Linked DNA regions of Saccharomyces cerevisiae S288C. The gene in region 3 interacts genetically with the main gene of each other region. Each region holds a gene or a part of one and is shown on either strand. Other genes may lie near its edges. The genes, in order: YLR126C, ZNF1, IMA5 and DIM1.

What was found.
Region 1: mutations in IMA5 (region 3) and YLR126C together harm fitness more than expected from each alone (negative genetic interaction), as found in Saccharomyces cerevisiae (one large-scale study listed by BioGRID).
Region 2: mutations in IMA5 (region 3) and ZNF1 together harm fitness more than expected from each alone (negative genetic interaction), as found in Saccharomyces cerevisiae (one large-scale study listed by BioGRID).
Region 4: mutations in IMA5 (region 3) and DIM1 together harm fitness less than expected from each alone (positive genetic interaction), as found in Saccharomyces cerevisiae (one large-scale study listed by BioGRID).

The regions. Positions count from the first base shown.
Region 1 is NC_001144.5:393,907-397,944, reverse strand, and holds YLR126C (putative amidotransferase), read left to right. Parts: upstream 1-2,424; coding exon 2,425-3,180; downstream 3,181-4,038. Other genes in the region: APC2 (anaphase promoting complex subunit 2), read left to right, coding at 1-2,187. UniProt on the Saccharomyces cerevisiae protein: May have a role in copper and iron homeostasis.
Region 2 is NC_001138.5:26,283-30,654, forward strand, and holds ZNF1 (DNA-binding domain containing protein), read left to right. Parts: upstream 1-1,949; coding exon 1,950-3,347; downstream 3,348-4,372. Other genes in the region: YFL051C (uncharacterized protein), read right to left, coding at 3,776-4,258. UniProt on the Saccharomyces cerevisiae protein: Transcription factor that regulates respiratory growth and plays a critical role in stress adaptation during non-fermentative growth.
Region 3 is NC_001142.9:23,452-28,037, reverse strand, and holds IMA5 (oligo-1,6-glucosidase IMA5), read left to right. Parts: upstream 1-1,951; coding exon 1,952-3,697; downstream 3,698-4,586. Other genes in the region: hexose transporter HXT8, read right to left, coding at 1-1,151; REE1 (Ree1p), read right to left, coding at 4,309-4,586. UniProt on the Saccharomyces cerevisiae protein: Alpha-glucosidase with specificity for isomaltose, maltose, and palatinose.
Region 4 is NC_001148.4:36,744-40,843, forward strand, and holds DIM1 (putative dimethyladenosine transferase), read left to right. Parts: upstream 1-2,377; coding exon 2,378-3,334; downstream 3,335-4,100. Other genes in the region: PLC1 (phosphatidylinositol phospholipase C), read left to right, coding at 1-1,102; ACM1 (Acm1p), read left to right, coding at 1,426-2,055. UniProt on the Saccharomyces cerevisiae protein: Specifically dimethylates two adjacent adenosines in the loop of a conserved hairpin near the 3'-end of 18S rRNA in the 40S particle.

The DNA.
Region 1 (4,038 bases), on a different chromosome or scaffold from region 3:
AATTATCTAAAAGATATCCAACGATGGGAAAATTATTACGAGTTTCCTTTACGTTACGTTCCTATTTTTGACGTAAATGTAAACGACTGGGCACTTGAACTTAATTCTTTAAGACATTATCTGTTGAATAGAAATATAAAGTTCAAAAATAATTTAAGAACAAGATTAGACAAATTAATAATGGATGATGATTTCGACCTGGCAGACAATTTAATCCAATGGCTCAAATCTGCTAATGGTTCCTTATCCTCTACGGAATTGATAGTCAATGCTCTTTACAGCAAAATCAATAAATTTTGTGAAGATAACATGAGTAGAGTATGGAATAAAAGGTTTATGATTATGGAAACATTCAACAAATTTATTAATCAATATTGGTCTCAGTTCTCTAAATTAGTCGGTTGTCCAGAGGATGATCACGAACTGACCACTACAGTTTTCAACTGTTTTGAGTCCAATTTTCTTAGGATAAGAACGAATGAAATCTTTGATATATGCGTTTTGGCTTATCCTGATTCAAAGGTTACTTTATTGGAATTGAGGAAAATTATGAAAGATTTTAAAGACTACACAAATATTGTAACAACTTTTTTGTCTGATTTCAAGAAATACATTCTAAACCCCAGCGTAACTACGGTGGACGCTTTGTTGAGATATGTTAAAACTATCAAAGCATTTTTGGTCCTGGATCCAACAGGGAGATGCCTACATTCAATAACCACGTTTGTTAAACCTTACTTTCAGGAGCGGAAGCACTTAGTAAATGTATTGTTATACGCAATGTTGGACTTACCTGAAGAAGAACTAAAGGAGAAAATTAATTTCAATGTAGATATGAAGGCACTGCTCTCACTTGTAGACACTTTGCACGATTCTGATATCAATCAAGATACGAACATCACCAAAAGGGACAAGAATAAAAAAAGCCCCTTTCTATGGAACCTCAAGGTGAAAGGAAAGAGGGAATTGAACAAGGACCTACCAATAAGACACGCCATGCTATACGAACATATACTCAATTATTATATAGCTTGGGTACCAGAGCCTAATGACATGATTCCCGGTAACATCAAATCAAGTTATATTAAGACAAATTTGTTTGAGGTGCTTTTGGATCTATTTGAATCAAGAGAATTTTTCATATCAGAATTTCGAAATCTCTTAACCGACAGATTATTCACTTTGAAATTTTATACGTTGGATGAAAAATGGACCCGATGTTTGAAATTAATAAGAGAAAAAATAGTCAAATTCACAGAAACAAGTCATTCCAATTATATAACAAACGGTATATTAGGACTCCTAGAAACAACAGCCCCTGCAGCAGATGCAGACCAGTCGAATTTGAATAGCATTGATGTTATGCTTTGGGATATAAAATGTAGCGAGGAGCTCTGCCGTAAAATGCATGAAGTAGCCGGACTGGATCCCATAATATTTCCAAAATTTATCTCACTCCTCTACTGGAAGTACAACTGCGATACACAAGGTTCTAATGATCTTGCATTTCATTTACCAATAGATTTAGAAAGGGAGCTACAGAAGTATTCTGATATATACTCACAGCTGAAACCTGGGCGCAAGTTACAACTATGCAAAGATAAAGGAAAAGTAGAAATACAATTAGCTTTCAAAGATGGTAGGAAATTAGTGTTAGACGTTTCTTTAGAACAATGCAGCGTAATAAATCAGTTTGATTCTCCAAATGATGAGCCAATTTGTTTATCACTAGAGCAGCTTTCTGAGTCACTAAATATTGCTCCTCCCAGGCTAACTCATTTGTTAGATTTCTGGATTCAAAAAGGTGTGCTTTTAAAAGAAAATGGAACCTATTCCGTTATTGAACATAGCGAGATGGATTTTGATCAAGCACAAAAGACCGCCCCAATGGAGATTGAGAACAGTAACTATGAACTACATAACGATTCTGAGATAGAAAGAAAATATGAATTGACACTTCAAAGAAGTCTGCCATTCATCGAAGGAATGCTGACTAATTTAGGCGCAATGAAACTTCATAAGATCCATTCTTTTTTGAAAATTACCGTGCCAAAAGATTGGGGATATAACCGAATTACTCTTCAACAATTAGAGGGATATTTAAACACTCTGGCCGATGAGGGTAGGCTGAAGTACATTGCCAATGGTTCATATGAAATAGTGAAAAATGGGCATAAAAACTCATGATTGAGGTGCAGTTTTTTACACGACTGCCACGAACAATCTCTTTTTGTCGCAAAATGTCAACGCGCGCCAAAGTGGGAAGTGGCAGATGAGGTGTACAGAAGAAAAGACAGATAAGGTTTATAATTTCACATAGATAATTGAGAAAGTTTGAAATATATACCGCTATAGCTCTGAAAATTATGCATTAACATATATTAGAATTGAATTATATCAAAAAAATACTAAGAAAACATCATAATGACAGTAAAAAAAATAGCTATTCTTTATACAGATGAAGATAACGAATGGAGTAAACCATGGGGCAATTTTGTTGATATGGCTATCAAGCTATTAGAACAGACCAGGAAATTGGAATGTATCGCAGAAGATGTCGAATATGAAGTGTTCCACGTACAAAAAAACGTGTTCCCTCAATTGTCAGATCTTCAGAAAGATGAGTATTTAGGCATATACATCACTGGTTCAAAATATGATTCATTTGATAATGAAATTGAATGGATTATGAAATTAAGAAGTTTCTTAAATGAGATGCTAACTAGCAAGACTGAATATCCGCCCGTAGCTGGAATATGTTTTGGTCATCAAGTTATCGCGGCTGCTCTAGGAAGTTCAGTTGGACGGAATCCGAAAGGGTTTGAAGGTGGGGTTGTGTCACTAAAACTGAACTCTGTGGGTCAAAAGTTATTTGGTGCTCAAGAATTAAATCTTTCTGAAGTGCACAGTGACTGCGTGTTCGATGTCCCAGAGGGATACCAAAATTGGGCGTCAAGTGAAAAATGTCAAAACCAAGGATTTTACAGGCAAAACAGAGTGCTGACGTTTCAAGGACACCCTGAATTCAATAGTGATGTCGCTCAGAAGGGGCTTTTGAAGTCTCAAGACAAGCTTACCCTTGAAGAGTTTAATAGATACGAAAGACAGTGCCAGGAGCTGGATAACAATGGCATACAAGCTGCCAGGAATATTTGGAGGTTATTCTTGCAAAAAATATGAAACAGCTGCTTGGGTTATATAGTCGATAGAGGACGTATAGGAAAGATAGCTTATAAGGTTTTTTTTTTTTTCAATTTCAACTAGTGTTGCATGAAGGCCTCGCTACGTCATTTCCTTCATTTCCCAGAATTCTGCAGAAACTTTATCAAATCACTCCAATGATCAGTATCCGAAGGTTCGGCACTACATAGTTTCGTTTATTAAGTCCAATAAATAAGCTTTTTTGTATGCACTTTTTTTTCGCTCATGCATAATGGATATAGCTGACTGAATGTCAGTAGTAATATCTGCGAGAAAATATGACACTAATTCTTGAGGTTTGTTGATTTACGTAATATGGTCCTCGTATAGTTAGAACGTTGTTCTAAAGAGCTAATGGCAGTTTCACTGCAGCGACCAAACAGGCAAGTTACACTCTCTGAGAACTAAACTTCTTGAATTGATGTCTGACCACGTTGGCATTTCCCAGTAAATTCAATAGGCTCAAATTAGCGGAAGAAAGCAATTTGTTATCTTTAATTAACCCTCAAAGAAATAGATACATCAATAAATGTCAACAGAGGCTTGAACTTATTTCACAATTTGTTCTCTTGTCCCATGTCAGGTGTAAAACTGACGGAAAGAACAACGTAAGATAATTAAGGTAAAAACAAAAAAAGGAAAGAATCTAGGCCCACATCGCCTTAGATCCACAACATGCAGAAATAGTAGCATACTTCTCCATTCAAATAACCCATTGTTTGCCTGCTTGAAAAGGAATTTTTTTTTTTTACTTTTTAATAATCCTGCTGTTTTTAGTGGCGTTTTTGTTCTCAACACTTTCCCAAGAGTATTCTCCCACCTCGCAAAATTATGGAA
Region 2 (4,372 bases), on a different chromosome or scaffold from region 3:
GCCAAACTTTGGCAATGATACTCGTTATTCGTAATATCAGTCCGTCAAGGTGCTGTGATTTCTCTATTTTATATTGCCTATTATTTTTTCAAATGATTTGAGCCGTTTTAAATTGAGTATGCAATGAGTCTTTTGAATCAACCGTAAGGCAGTTCCATAACCACTGCCACGAATACGTTTCACTACCTTGAAGAATCTCTAATGTAGGCCGTATTCTTCGCACTTAGTTCTGACGATGTAGACATCTCATTATATAAGAGCATAAGCGCCTGTTTCTAGAATCATTTCTTCGTGACCCAGCTTTTTGAGTTATTTCGCGGTATTTTGAAACATTTCTCGAGCTTGACGTGAACATCCTTATATTTCATGACAAACTCGATCATTGGAACATCCCTGCCTCGATTTTAGAGCTAGTATCAAATTTCAATCTCTTTGTGATGGAGCCCCGCTCCTATTTCAAAAGAGAAGTTTCTTGTATGCATATGTTATTGAAGTCTGATTATAGCAAGTGCAATGTCGTCTCAATTATTTTAACTATTTTTAGCCATACATGTTAGTTATCCTCAAAGAGAGCCTCCAGACTGGGAAGCAGTGTTTGTCATTTCAAATAAGTAGATTTCACAGTTTGTATGATTTTCGAAGCCAGGATTCATTGGGCTTTGAGTAAAGAGAAGCCGCGTATTACGAACAGCTTACGATATTGTAAAATATTCCCTTATTGTGGTGCCCCAATGGATACATGCCAGAGAAATGTCTGTGAAATTGAACAATTACAATGACGAGAGCAAGTAATCCGGCGGCCTTGTCTCTCTTTCACTAGTACCGTCTATATCTCTTGAGCGCCAATATGCGAAAGCTTTCACAAGGTTGATGTTCATGGTATTCGGCGTCGATAGCGAATTGCTTACTAAGAAACATTAGGGTGCAGTACAGCCTTGTTTTTCCAGTTCGACTAACCTTTTTCTTGGCAGTATGGAGACTGACTAGGTCTCCCAAACATTCATTGTAACTGCTGTTTAAAGATTTTGTTCTAACCTAAATTCAAGTGAGAAGCTGAACATGTGTCTCTACTTATGATATCACGACAGCAAATACTAATCTTGCCATAAATAGTCTAGCGTTTTGCAACTTACCTCTAGATATATTTTATTTCTTGAGGAACCGTTTTCGTCGGTAATAACAAAATACTACTGAAACGCCACAGCATTGAGAGAATACGTTATCGATTACGGCTTTCTTCTCGCTCCAGATGTCGCGGGTAAGATATTCACCTCAAACTTTTCTTGTTGAGTGTCGTCACAAATCTAGAACCTACATGCCATCTCAACGATTTTTCTGGAGAAAGGCCTCACTCCGTTCCGTACGTAATGCATAGATAAAGTATCAGGATCTTCACGATGCTCGAGAGTTACTTAGTAGTCTGAGTTTATGCGAAAAAAACTCCGCCGTTGTAATAATCGGGAATACACAGAAGTAGTACTGCACTATCACTGGGATACTCAAAAACCTTCTTTTTAACTTTTCTATCCCACAAATAGAACATAGGAAAGAACATTGACTCCTCCACTTGAAGTTAAATTACAGGAACAAACGCCTAACTATAATTTCGACATTGTTGCATCAACGAATCGACCGAAAGAAAAATCTGGAGTTGCAGTTATCACTTGTATGTGCACTAAGATTTATATTTTTACTCCTGAGATCTGCCAAATCGGTAGCTTATTGAACTGCGTTCCTTTTTCCCCTGAGTTCTCGAGGTACCTGCGGCTTTGTCTGTGCCATCTCCCCCACTTTAAAGTACCCCACGTTACTACCGCGTTTTTCCCCACCCCCGGCTTAATAAATTAGCTATATCTTGTTGACTTAAATACGGAGAAAAGAAGAAAACCTTCAAGAAATGCTTCATTGTCTTGTCAAAAGAGCTAAAGTAAAAGAGCTCTAGTTCGAAGATGGCCCGCAATAGACAAGCGTGCGACTGTTGTTGCATTCGTCGAGTAAAGTGTGATCGTAAAAAACCATGTAAATGTTGTCTTCAACACAATCTGCAATGTACATATCTTCGACCTTTGAAGAAAAGAGGTCCAAAACCCGTCAAGGTGAGAAATTTAAAGAAAGTAGATGATGTACAGGTATTTAGTAAAAGTAGTAGTGGTGGCATAATGAAGGTTCCAAAGGCACTAATTGATCAGTGTCTGCGGCTCTATAATGATAAGTTGTATGTGATCTGGCCTTTGCTGTGTTATGATGATCTTTACGAACTTTTAGAGAAAAGATATGACGAAACCTGTGTGTATTGGTTCCTGGTATCTCTTTCTGCCGCCACGCTTAGCGATTTGCAGACTGAAATTGAGTCGGAAGGAGGGGTTACCTTTACTGGGATACAGTTATCCAGTTTCTGCATGTCATCACGCCAAGAATTTGACGATTTTAACGGTAGTGATATATTCAAGATTATGACGTACTATTGTCTAAACCGCTGCTACGCACAGATGTCCAACTCAAGAACTTCGTATCGGCTTTCTTGTGAAGCCGTGGGGCTCATTAAGTTGGCGGGGTTCCATCGCGAGGAAACTTTGAAACTTCTTCCTTTCGATGAGCAGCAGCTTGGAAGGAAAGTTTATTATTTGCTTCTCTTAACGGAAAGATACTTTTCTGTGTATACGCATTGCGCCACGAGCCTGGATACCACGATTGCTCCACCACAACCGGAGAACGTAACGGACCCCCGACTATCTCTCGACAGCTTCTTGGAGATGATTAGGGTATTTACTGTACCGGGAAAATGCTTCTTTGATGCTCTAGCTACCGACTCTGCTAATGTAACCTGTACTGAAGACTCCCTTAAAAAGATATGGAGGGAACTTCATACGGTGCCACTTGAGATAGAACCATGGTCTTACGGCTATGTAGACATATCTTTTTCACGGCATTGGATTAGAACACTTGCTTGGAAGCTAGTGCTTCAAATAAGCGGTATGCGAATCAGTTTCCTTTCAAATAGCAAGAATACGCATATTCCAGTAGAAATTGCTAGAGACATGTTAGAAGACACATTTTTAATCCCAAAAAATCTTTATGCAGTTCACGGTCCAGGGATATCAGTGAAAGCACTAGAAATAGCCGACGCATTGGTAGATGTTGTGAATCAGTACGATCAAAATGCAGAGTCGGAGGCTTGGAATTTTTTGTTCGATATATCCAAATTTGTCTTCTCTCTTAAGCATTGTGATAGCACATTAGTTGATAAGTTTACGACAAAGTGTCAGTGTGCGCTTATCACGCTTCCTCTTTCTAATCCGCTTGAATCGACAGATGGTTCTAAAGAAGATGTAGATGCGCTTCCTTAAGTAAACACATTGCTACTTGCATTTTACCTTTCAAGATGTAGTGATTACGGACAGTTGAAGAGGCTAATAGCATCTATTTCTTCTTTAGTATATGGTTCCTGCAGGGCAAACAATTATTTCCTTTGCAATTTTGCGGCAGTGGGGAAGAATGATAGCACTAATAGTGAACTTGTGGACAATTATGCTATTATAGCAAGAAAAAAAATTTATTTTTTTTTCAAGGGGGGTGATTGTGATGTGAATTAAATCAAGGATATACGCTTTTATCGTCATGATAGTCGTGCGATTTGTACTTGGTTATAGATGAAATGAGTTAGTTTTTAATAATTGTGATCACAATATAGCTGTACTTATCAGGCCATTAAAGTTTCCTGTAAGGTGCACGAGAAGTCATGGTCATAAAATTATCAGAATCTCCAAGGAGAGGTTCAACGGCGTCGGTTGCCCATACTCCATATTAAGTACCCTGTCATTTCCACAGTTACATTAGTTGGAGTAGTATAGAAACCAAAAAGATCAGAACTCCAATAGGCAGTATTTGGGTCACAGTATTCAGTGTCACGTTTTTTAGTTTCATAAAGAGGTCCGCAAGGATCATATCCATCCTCATCACGCTTCAAAACTGCATAAGTCACACAGGTAGGAGTGCTCTCACAAGGCGGACTATAGTATATGGAGAGATTGGTCTGTCCGCTAACGGAACCTAACTTCTTTGTATTGGAGTATTCATAGCCCATATATTCAGGCTCCAAGTATGTGGTTTGGTCGCCTATTGTGTACTCATAAAAATTAATATTCATACCATCTTCCCTTTTGTTTGTTGGTAAGCAAGCTTCTGTACTGGCTAAGGTTGTAGTAGCTAGCGCCACGAAGACCAAGAGTGCCGAAAATACGGAATGGGGTATAGACATTTGAAGGTGTGGAGGGATGCTGGTATCCTCCAATTGTTACATTAAGATTATCATCTGGCTATCATGAAATGAAGGTTACCTTTATATAAGAAAGACTTTTAAAAAAATGTTTTG
Region 3 (4,586 bases):
TCAACAGAATAAAGTGAAAAGAAGCAAGAAGCAAAATTCACAATACCCAAGACAATTGAAGTCTCAAAAGAGTCATTCATACCGACAGATTTGAAGATAGTAGTACCGTAGTAGAAGAAATAGTTGTCACCGGTTAGTTGCTGCAGAGAGTTAATCATGACTGTCATCGTTAAACGTTGAAAAACTTTAGTCTTTCTCGAAAATAATTCCTTCCATGAAGCAGTTCCCATTGCTTCTTCTGCCTCCACACCAGCAACAAGAAGATCAATCTCTGCAACCACAGCAGGATCGTCAACACTAAGCTTGTTCGACTTGGCAAAAGAAGCTTTAGCTTGCTCAATCTTACCGACTTGCACCAAAAACCGAGGAGATTCCGGAACAAACGTCATACCACCAATCATAATAATAGCCCATGCAAAACATAGACCAAGCGGAACACGCCACTGGACAGAATTCGAGTAAGTCTTGGTACCATAATTGGTACAATAACCCAAGAAAATTGCGAAAGTCACCATCAATTGCCAACAAGCTAGCAACGTACCTCTGATATGCTTTGGCGCAGTTTCCGAAATAAGCATCGGGGCAAGAACACTAATGGAACCAGCACCTATACCAGCGATAATTCTTCCAATAAAATACTGATACCACTTATCTATAGAGGCAATTTGAATGACAATACCAACCATATAAACGACAATAACTATAATCAAACCCATGCAGCGGCCGTAAATATCACCCAATTTAGACAAGAAAAGACAGCCAATGGCGCTTCCCACATTGAAGATGGACACAATCAACCCAGTTCTCACATTAGATAAGTAGTAAGTGTTCTTGGAATGGCTATAATTACCAAATCTTCTTAAAAAATCAGTCTGATTGACGAAACCAGAAATCGTACCTGTGTCCCAACCGGACATAAATCCACCGAAAGCCATACATAAACACATGATAGAAACAGTAGCATAGGCTGAAGCAGGCTTTTCTGGAACAACAACTTCCTCTGCCTCTTCCCCATTATACTCGGAAAAGTCCTTGTTTTCCTCCACTGTAGGTACTGACAGATGTGAAGAATTTTCTATCGAAGGGCAGCCATCATCTTCTGCCTCTTCGAAAATCGGTTCTTCTGGCAAGTTGGTTTTACGATCAGTCATGGTTTTTGCTGGCGTTCTGAGCTAACTAAAAGTGACTTATAAAAAATGCAATCTAAAATAAGAATGAAACAAAAATGGTCGTTTAAATATATCTAGTCAAGCTTCATCCCTTACAATGGTTAGCGATGATATTCCGTCGTCCAAAAGATTACGACCATGCCAGTTCATATTATTTTACTTAAGAGTTCATGTCTTTCATGCGAAGAAGCGTTCGGAAATTCCAAAACTTCTTAGAGTTCAGGAACAGGCCCGGTCGCGGAATTATTCTCGGGATAATTCCAGCCGCTTGGCAGGTAGGCTAAATTACACATTTCAAGAACTTTCTCCGGCCTTTTCTGTGAGATACGTTTATAAGTTGCTGCAGCAGGATGCTCTAGGCTGCTTTCTCTGGAATTTCTCTCCTTCTCCACATACCTCGTTGTTGAATCCCCGCGGAGGTGATATAATAAAGTTGCGTGAAAGCGTAAATGCCTAGACGGAGAAAAGAAAACGGGGAAATAAACTTTGCATTATTTTTCCTCCGTGGAGAATCCTCGGAGAAACACGGGAATATTTGAAACTATTTGCAACATTGTCCATTGAAATAGTCACAATCCTAGAAGCTAATTCACCGGAAAAAGTAATTCACACTTAAGAATTGTATCTTCCATTACCGCTACGGTAATTGATACGGTTTTGAGGAGTAAGTTCATAAACGTCTGACGAATTATAAATTAGGACACTTGTTCACATATCTTGGTGCGAAAAACTACTGTTTCTTGATGACTATATAGAAAGTGCTCAATATTGAAAAGAAAAACATGACGATCATCCATAATCCTAAATGGTGGAAAGAAGCCACCGTCTACCAAATTTATCCTGCTAGTTTCAAGGACTCCAACAATGACGGATGGGGTGATTTAGCTGGGATTACCTCCAAACTTGACTATGTCAAAGAATTAGGTGTCGATGCGATATGGGTGTGCCCATTTTATGACTCTCCTCAAGAAGATATGGGTTACGATATTGCCAACTATGAGAAGGTTTGGCCACGTTACGGTACCAATGAGGATTGTTTCCAAATGATAGAAGAAGCTCATAAGAGAGGTATCAAGGTTATTGTTGACCTGGTTATCAACCACTGTTCTGAAGAGCATGAATGGTTCAAGGAGAGTAGATCTTCTAAGGCTAATCCAAAGCGTGACTGGTTTTTCTGGAGACCTCCAAAGGGTTACGATGAGAAAGGTAATCCAATTCCTCCCAACAATTGGAGATCTTTCTTTGGTGGATCTGCTTGGAGATATGACGAAAAAACTGGTGAGTTCTTTCTGCATGTGTTTGCTCTTGGCCAACCTGATTTCAATTGGGAAAATGAAGAGTGCCGTAAAGCCATTTATGACTCCTCAGTGGGCTATTGGCTACGTCACAACGTTGATGGCTTTCGTATTGACGTAGGCAGCATGTATTCTAAGGTTGAGGGCCTACCCGATGCTCCTATCACTGATCCTACAGTTCCTTACCAAAAAGGAACTGAATTTTTCATAAATGGGCCACGTATCCATGAGTATCATAAAGAAATGCATAACTACATGCTCTCGCAAGTTCCAGAGGGTAAAGAAATCATGACTGTTGGAGAAGTTGGTATCGGGAATGAAGACGACTTCAGAGTTTATACCAGTGCCAAAGAAGGAGAACTAAATATGATGTTCAACTTCAAGCACACCTCAGTAGGTGAAAACCCAAAATGCAAGTACGAACTTATTCCCTTTACTTTAAAAGACTTTAAGCTGGCTCTTGCTGAAAGCTTTCTGTTTATCGAAAACACAGATTGCTGGTCGACCATCTATTTGGAGAATCATGATCAACCTCGTAGCGTTTCGCGTTTTGGCTCAGATTCTCCTAAATGGCGTGAGATTTCGTCCAAGATGTTGGCTACTCTCATCATTTCATTGACTGGTACTGTTTTTATCTACCAAGGACAAGAATTGGGTATGCCCAACTTCAAAAACAGAAAAATTGAGCAAATCAAATGCGTTGAAGGTACTGGTACATATGCCGCCATTAAACGTGATTATGGTGAAGATTCTGAAAAGATGAAAAAGTTTTTTGAAGCATTAGCTTTGATCTCTAGAGATCATGGGAGAACACCATTCCCATGGAGTGCTGATGAGCCTTCTGCAGGTTTCTCGAAGGATGCCAAACCATGGATTGACATGAATGAATCATTTAGAGACGGAATCAACGCAGAAGCTGAGTTAAAAGATAAAAACTCAGTCTTCTTTTTCTGGAAAAAGGCCTTACAAGTTAGAAAGGAGCACAAAGATATCCTTGTTTATGGACATAACTTTCAGTTCATTGATCTTGATAATGACAAGCTATTCATGTTTACAAAGGACACAGATAACAAAAAAATGTTTGCTGTTTTCAATTTCAGTAGCGATAATACGGACTTTTCAGTTCCTGATAATGAGGCCTCCTACACCATGTTTTTTGGCAACTATGCAAACTCAAATGGTGATTCCCGCACCTTGCAGCCATGGGAAGGAAGACTTTACTTGTTGAAGTAACGAGCACATTTAACATAAACGTACTGATCTTTCGAAACAAATAGTTATGCCGATATTTATGAATAATAAACTTGTATATTTCTTTTTACTTTTGCTTTTCATATGTGAGCATTGGATACTTAACTTACGCTGTACGCTATTTTCAATTGCAATTTATATATGTATATAGAAGACAGAAAATTCACTGAACCTTTTTCCGAAGAAATATAAAATAAAAAGCAACGTACAGCAGAAAAATAGAAAACATCATTATTACTGTTTCTATTGTCTAAATTTAGCCCTTTAAACCCCATCATCATAAGTACTAATTACCACGAATTCAATAATTAGTAAATACATTCGACTATTCTCACCCTAACTTTCGTCACTTTATCTTAAAACACTAGCTAAAAGTCGTTTATTATAACAAAACTAAAAATTTCGTAGTATGCACGCCTTATTGCCCAGTATTTTGTTAACTGTATGGATTGTACTAGTAAAAAAAATCTTGACGAAATTGAGTATAAACAAAATTTTAAAAAGCATAGTGCCAAATCAACAGATCTTAGTGAGGTGCAGGCCTTGTTCTTAACAAAAGCAAACCCCTCTTTATATATTGATATATAGGTGAACTAACTCAAATCATGTAAAGCTTTTCCTAAAGGAGCTGTGAGACTCCATTCCGAGAAAGTAACTTTCAATCCGCCACGCTCAGGTGTGCAAGCCATTGGTCCAACAAGGTAATGGTCAGAAGTTGGAAATGGAGCCAAACGTACTAACGGCCATGTTTTTTTATCAGAGGACACCTGAATCCTCAAAACGCCCTTTTCAACAGTAACACGAAGCCAGAAATCGCGAGCATTTCCGCCATAAACAGCAGTTGACCAATCTGATTTTCCATTTGTCAAAA
Region 4 (4,100 bases), on a different chromosome or scaffold from region 3:
TAAACTGCCATCACCAAGGGAATTAAAACATAAAATACTGTTGAAATCCAAGAAGACGAGTGAAGCAACTAGAGGTCTTAGCGTTAATGAGCCATTTCCATCTTCTTTTAGTTCTTCTTACGAATCAGCTAATGAACAGGAATTAAGAATGAAAGATGACTCCACGAACAGTAGTAGCGCAACAAATTCTTCTAGTATGCAACGCATCAAAAGAATTGGATTAAAAAAGCACGCTGATATAATTAATGATGTTTCTAACATTTCTGGAATACATGGCATCAAGTTCAGGAATTTCTCTTTACCAGAGTCCAAAACGATAGCGCATTGTTTTTCACTGAATGAGCGCAAAGTAGAATACATGATAAAAGACAAACACTTAAAATTATCGTTGGATAAACATAATAGAAGATATTTGATGAGAGTCTATCCTCACGTTTTACGATACAAATCATCAAATTTTAACCCAATACCTTTTTGGAAGGCCGGTGTACAAATGGTGGCTACGAATTGGCAAACTAATGATATTGGACAGCAACTTAATCTGGCAATGTTTCAAATATTAGATCACCAACCTGATGGAAGTTTTAAATCAGGATACGTGCTAAAACCAAAAAAGTTGCTACCTGTAGTAACAAAGGCGAAAATGATTCCATTAATTTACGAACATTTTGAAAATGGTAGTGATCCTGTTACTGTTAAAATTCGAATTTTATCTACACAGTTATTGCCCAGATTGAATGATACATCGCCAAGCAGAAATAACACCAATTCCTTTGTTAAAGTGGAGTTTCATACCGATGACGAGCCGACAATGCCCATCTCAATCGATAAGGGTACAAGGATTTCTGCCACTGAAGCATCCACTAAGAGTTCTCAAGGGAATGGATTCAACCCAATATGGGATGCTGAAGTTTCTATCACATTGAAAGATACAGACCTCACATTTATAAAATTCATGGTTATCTCTGAAGAGACCCAGATTGCATCTGTTTGCCTTAAGCTGAACTATTTGAGGATGGGATATCGTCACATTCCGTTGTTTAACATGGAGGGGGAACAATACATATTTTGCACTTTATTTATTCATACACAAATTTTATAGGCGATCTTTTTCCGGCCAAATACACATATTCATAAATACGTACATATACCTACTTGCATATACCAACATGATTACCTAGAATGGATATATCAAATGGGACGACGAAGTACCACGACAATACACAATAACAACTTCTGTTTTTCGCTGATTGCCTTCTCTTCAGCAGAAAGTTGATGCATATTTCGCGTAGCGCGTTGACGCGTCTTCTTTCTGAAGTTTTGTGCTTTTGTTATCATACTATATAAAGTAAAAAGAAAGGAGAACATATTAAGCATTACTGAATTAGGATCCTTTGGAAGAAATAAAGTAAGAGACACTGAAAGATGATATCACCATCAAAAAAGAGAACCATTTTATCAAGCAAGAATATAAACCAAAAACCACGAGCAGTGGTAAAAGGCAATGAACTTCGTTCACCATCAAAGAGAAGGTCACAAATAGACACAGACTATGCACTAAGGCGAAGTCCAATAAAGACAATCCAAATTTCTAAAGCTGCACAATTTATGCTGTATGAGGAAACGGCTGAAGAAAGAAACATAGCTGTCCACAGACATAATGAAATATACAATAATAACAATTCTGTGAGCAATGAGAATAATCCTTCCCAAGTAAAAGAAAACCTTTCACCCGCTAAAATTTGCCCTTATGAAAGAGCATTTTTAAGGGAAGGAGGAAGAATTGCATTGAAGGACTTAAGTGTTGACGAATTCAAAGGTTACATACAGGATCCTCTCACCGATGAGACTATACCACTGACGTTGCCACTGGGTGATAAAAAAATCAGCCTACCCAGTTTTATAACGCCGCCAAGAAATTCGAAGATATCTATTTTCTTCACTAGTAAACACCAAGGACAGAACCCAGAGACAAAGATATCCCGTTCTACCGATGACGTCAGTGAAAAAAAAGTAGTGAGAAAACTGTCCTTCCACGTCTATGAAGATGAGTAAATAATGTACACAGTTAGCGTCTAATAATTAATTAACGATACCAATTTAATTCATTCACGTATTCCTCACCTCGTGTGTAAATTACTAACAGAGTAGTAATAATAATAAGAATCAATAATAATAATAAATCCATCCTTGTGTATTACCCGGGTTAGAGGGTAGAAAAATTTTTGAAAATCGCGATGAGCTGAAAATTGAAAATATTTGGTTATAACATAAGATCGATAAATTAGGAACAGTGCATTATACAGTGGACTCATTCGGTTAGAAGCTTTAGACGTCGTACCTTTTATATCGATACAAATAAAAATAAAATTATACCATGGGAAAGGCTGCGAAAAAGAAGTACTCCGGAGCAACTTCGTCCAAACAAGTCTCTGCCGAGAAACATTTGAGTTCAGTATTTAAATTCAACACAGATCTAGGTCAGCATATTTTGAAAAATCCTTTGGTGGCGCAAGGTATTGTTGATAAGGCACAGATTAGACCCTCAGATGTTGTTTTGGAGGTTGGTCCTGGTACAGGTAACCTAACTGTAAGGATCCTCGAACAAGCAAAAAACGTAGTGGCAGTAGAAATGGATCCCAGAATGGCTGCAGAATTAACTAAGAGGGTACGTGGCACACCTGTGGAGAAAAAGTTAGAAATCATGCTTGGAGATTTTATGAAGACTGAATTACCATACTTTGATATCTGTATTAGTAACACTCCTTACCAGATCTCATCGCCTCTGGTTTTCAAATTAATTAACCAACCAAGACCACCAAGAGTATCTATTCTTATGTTTCAAAGAGAGTTTGCTTTAAGATTACTGGCAAGACCAGGTGACTCATTATACTGTAGATTATCCGCCAATGTACAAATGTGGGCTAATGTTACACACATCATGAAAGTGGGTAAGAATAACTTCAGACCGCCACCACAAGTGGAATCCAGCGTTGTTAGACTAGAGATTAAAAATCCAAGACCGCAAGTGGATTACAACGAATGGGATGGTTTGTTGAGAATCGTCTTTGTGAGGAAAAACAGAACGATTTCAGCTGGCTTCAAATCGACCACCGTGATGGACATTCTGGAGAAGAATTATAAGACATTTTTGGCGATGAACAACGAAATGGTGGATGATACAAAGGGTTCTATGCACGATGTCGTCAAGGAAAAGATTGACACAGTTCTGAAGGAGACCGACTTAGGCGACAAAAGAGCGGGTAAATGTGATCAAAATGATTTCCTAAGGCTATTATATGCTTTTCACCAGGTTGGTATCCATTTTTCATGAGCTCTCTTATCAATTATGTAAGTGCTTGTATACTATTTACCTAAGATAAGAAAAAAAAAAGCAATTCAAAATTAAGCTTATCTTGACAGCGGGGCTGGTTTGTTTCTAGAAGACAAAAAGTGGGGAATCATTTTTACGTAACTCCCCCTGATAAGAAGGACTCACATCCTTATAGGTACGATAAAGAATGGTTGTATCTTTCCTATTTTTCGAAATCGTTATCTTATATAGTTGAACTACTACGGTTAAAAAGCTTAAGCCTCAGCCCTCTTAGTCAAACTTCTTTTTTGAAGGCACCAGGGTGCATAAAAGTGCGTCTATTGTTTCCCAGTGGAACTCTGTTGAGATAGCGATGTTTGTTTTTTTTTCACTTAACGGCAACCAATACCGATAGCGACGTCGCTGGCAGTGTAGAGTGGCCGTACGGCGTCGCTAGATGGCACGGCACTGATTGCGGCGGGAGTCGCTAGGCGGTGATGCATTTCCGCACAGGGACCAGAGGAAGCTTCCCAGGCGGTGACAGTAAGTGAACTCATTATCATGTCTTCTCCAAAACATTCGTGACATCTAGTCATGCTCCTCGCAATTCACTCCGATTGGTATAGCTTTTTCGGTAGTTTTAGCTACTATGCTTAGGGGAAAGAGGAGAAACCGTACCGTCAGTCTCAGTCAAAAAATTTTGATATTCAATCTGATAGCAAAGTTGGAACTTGGGGTTATCTGGCCCTTTTTTGTTATCATATTCGTATACCCAACAACATATCGG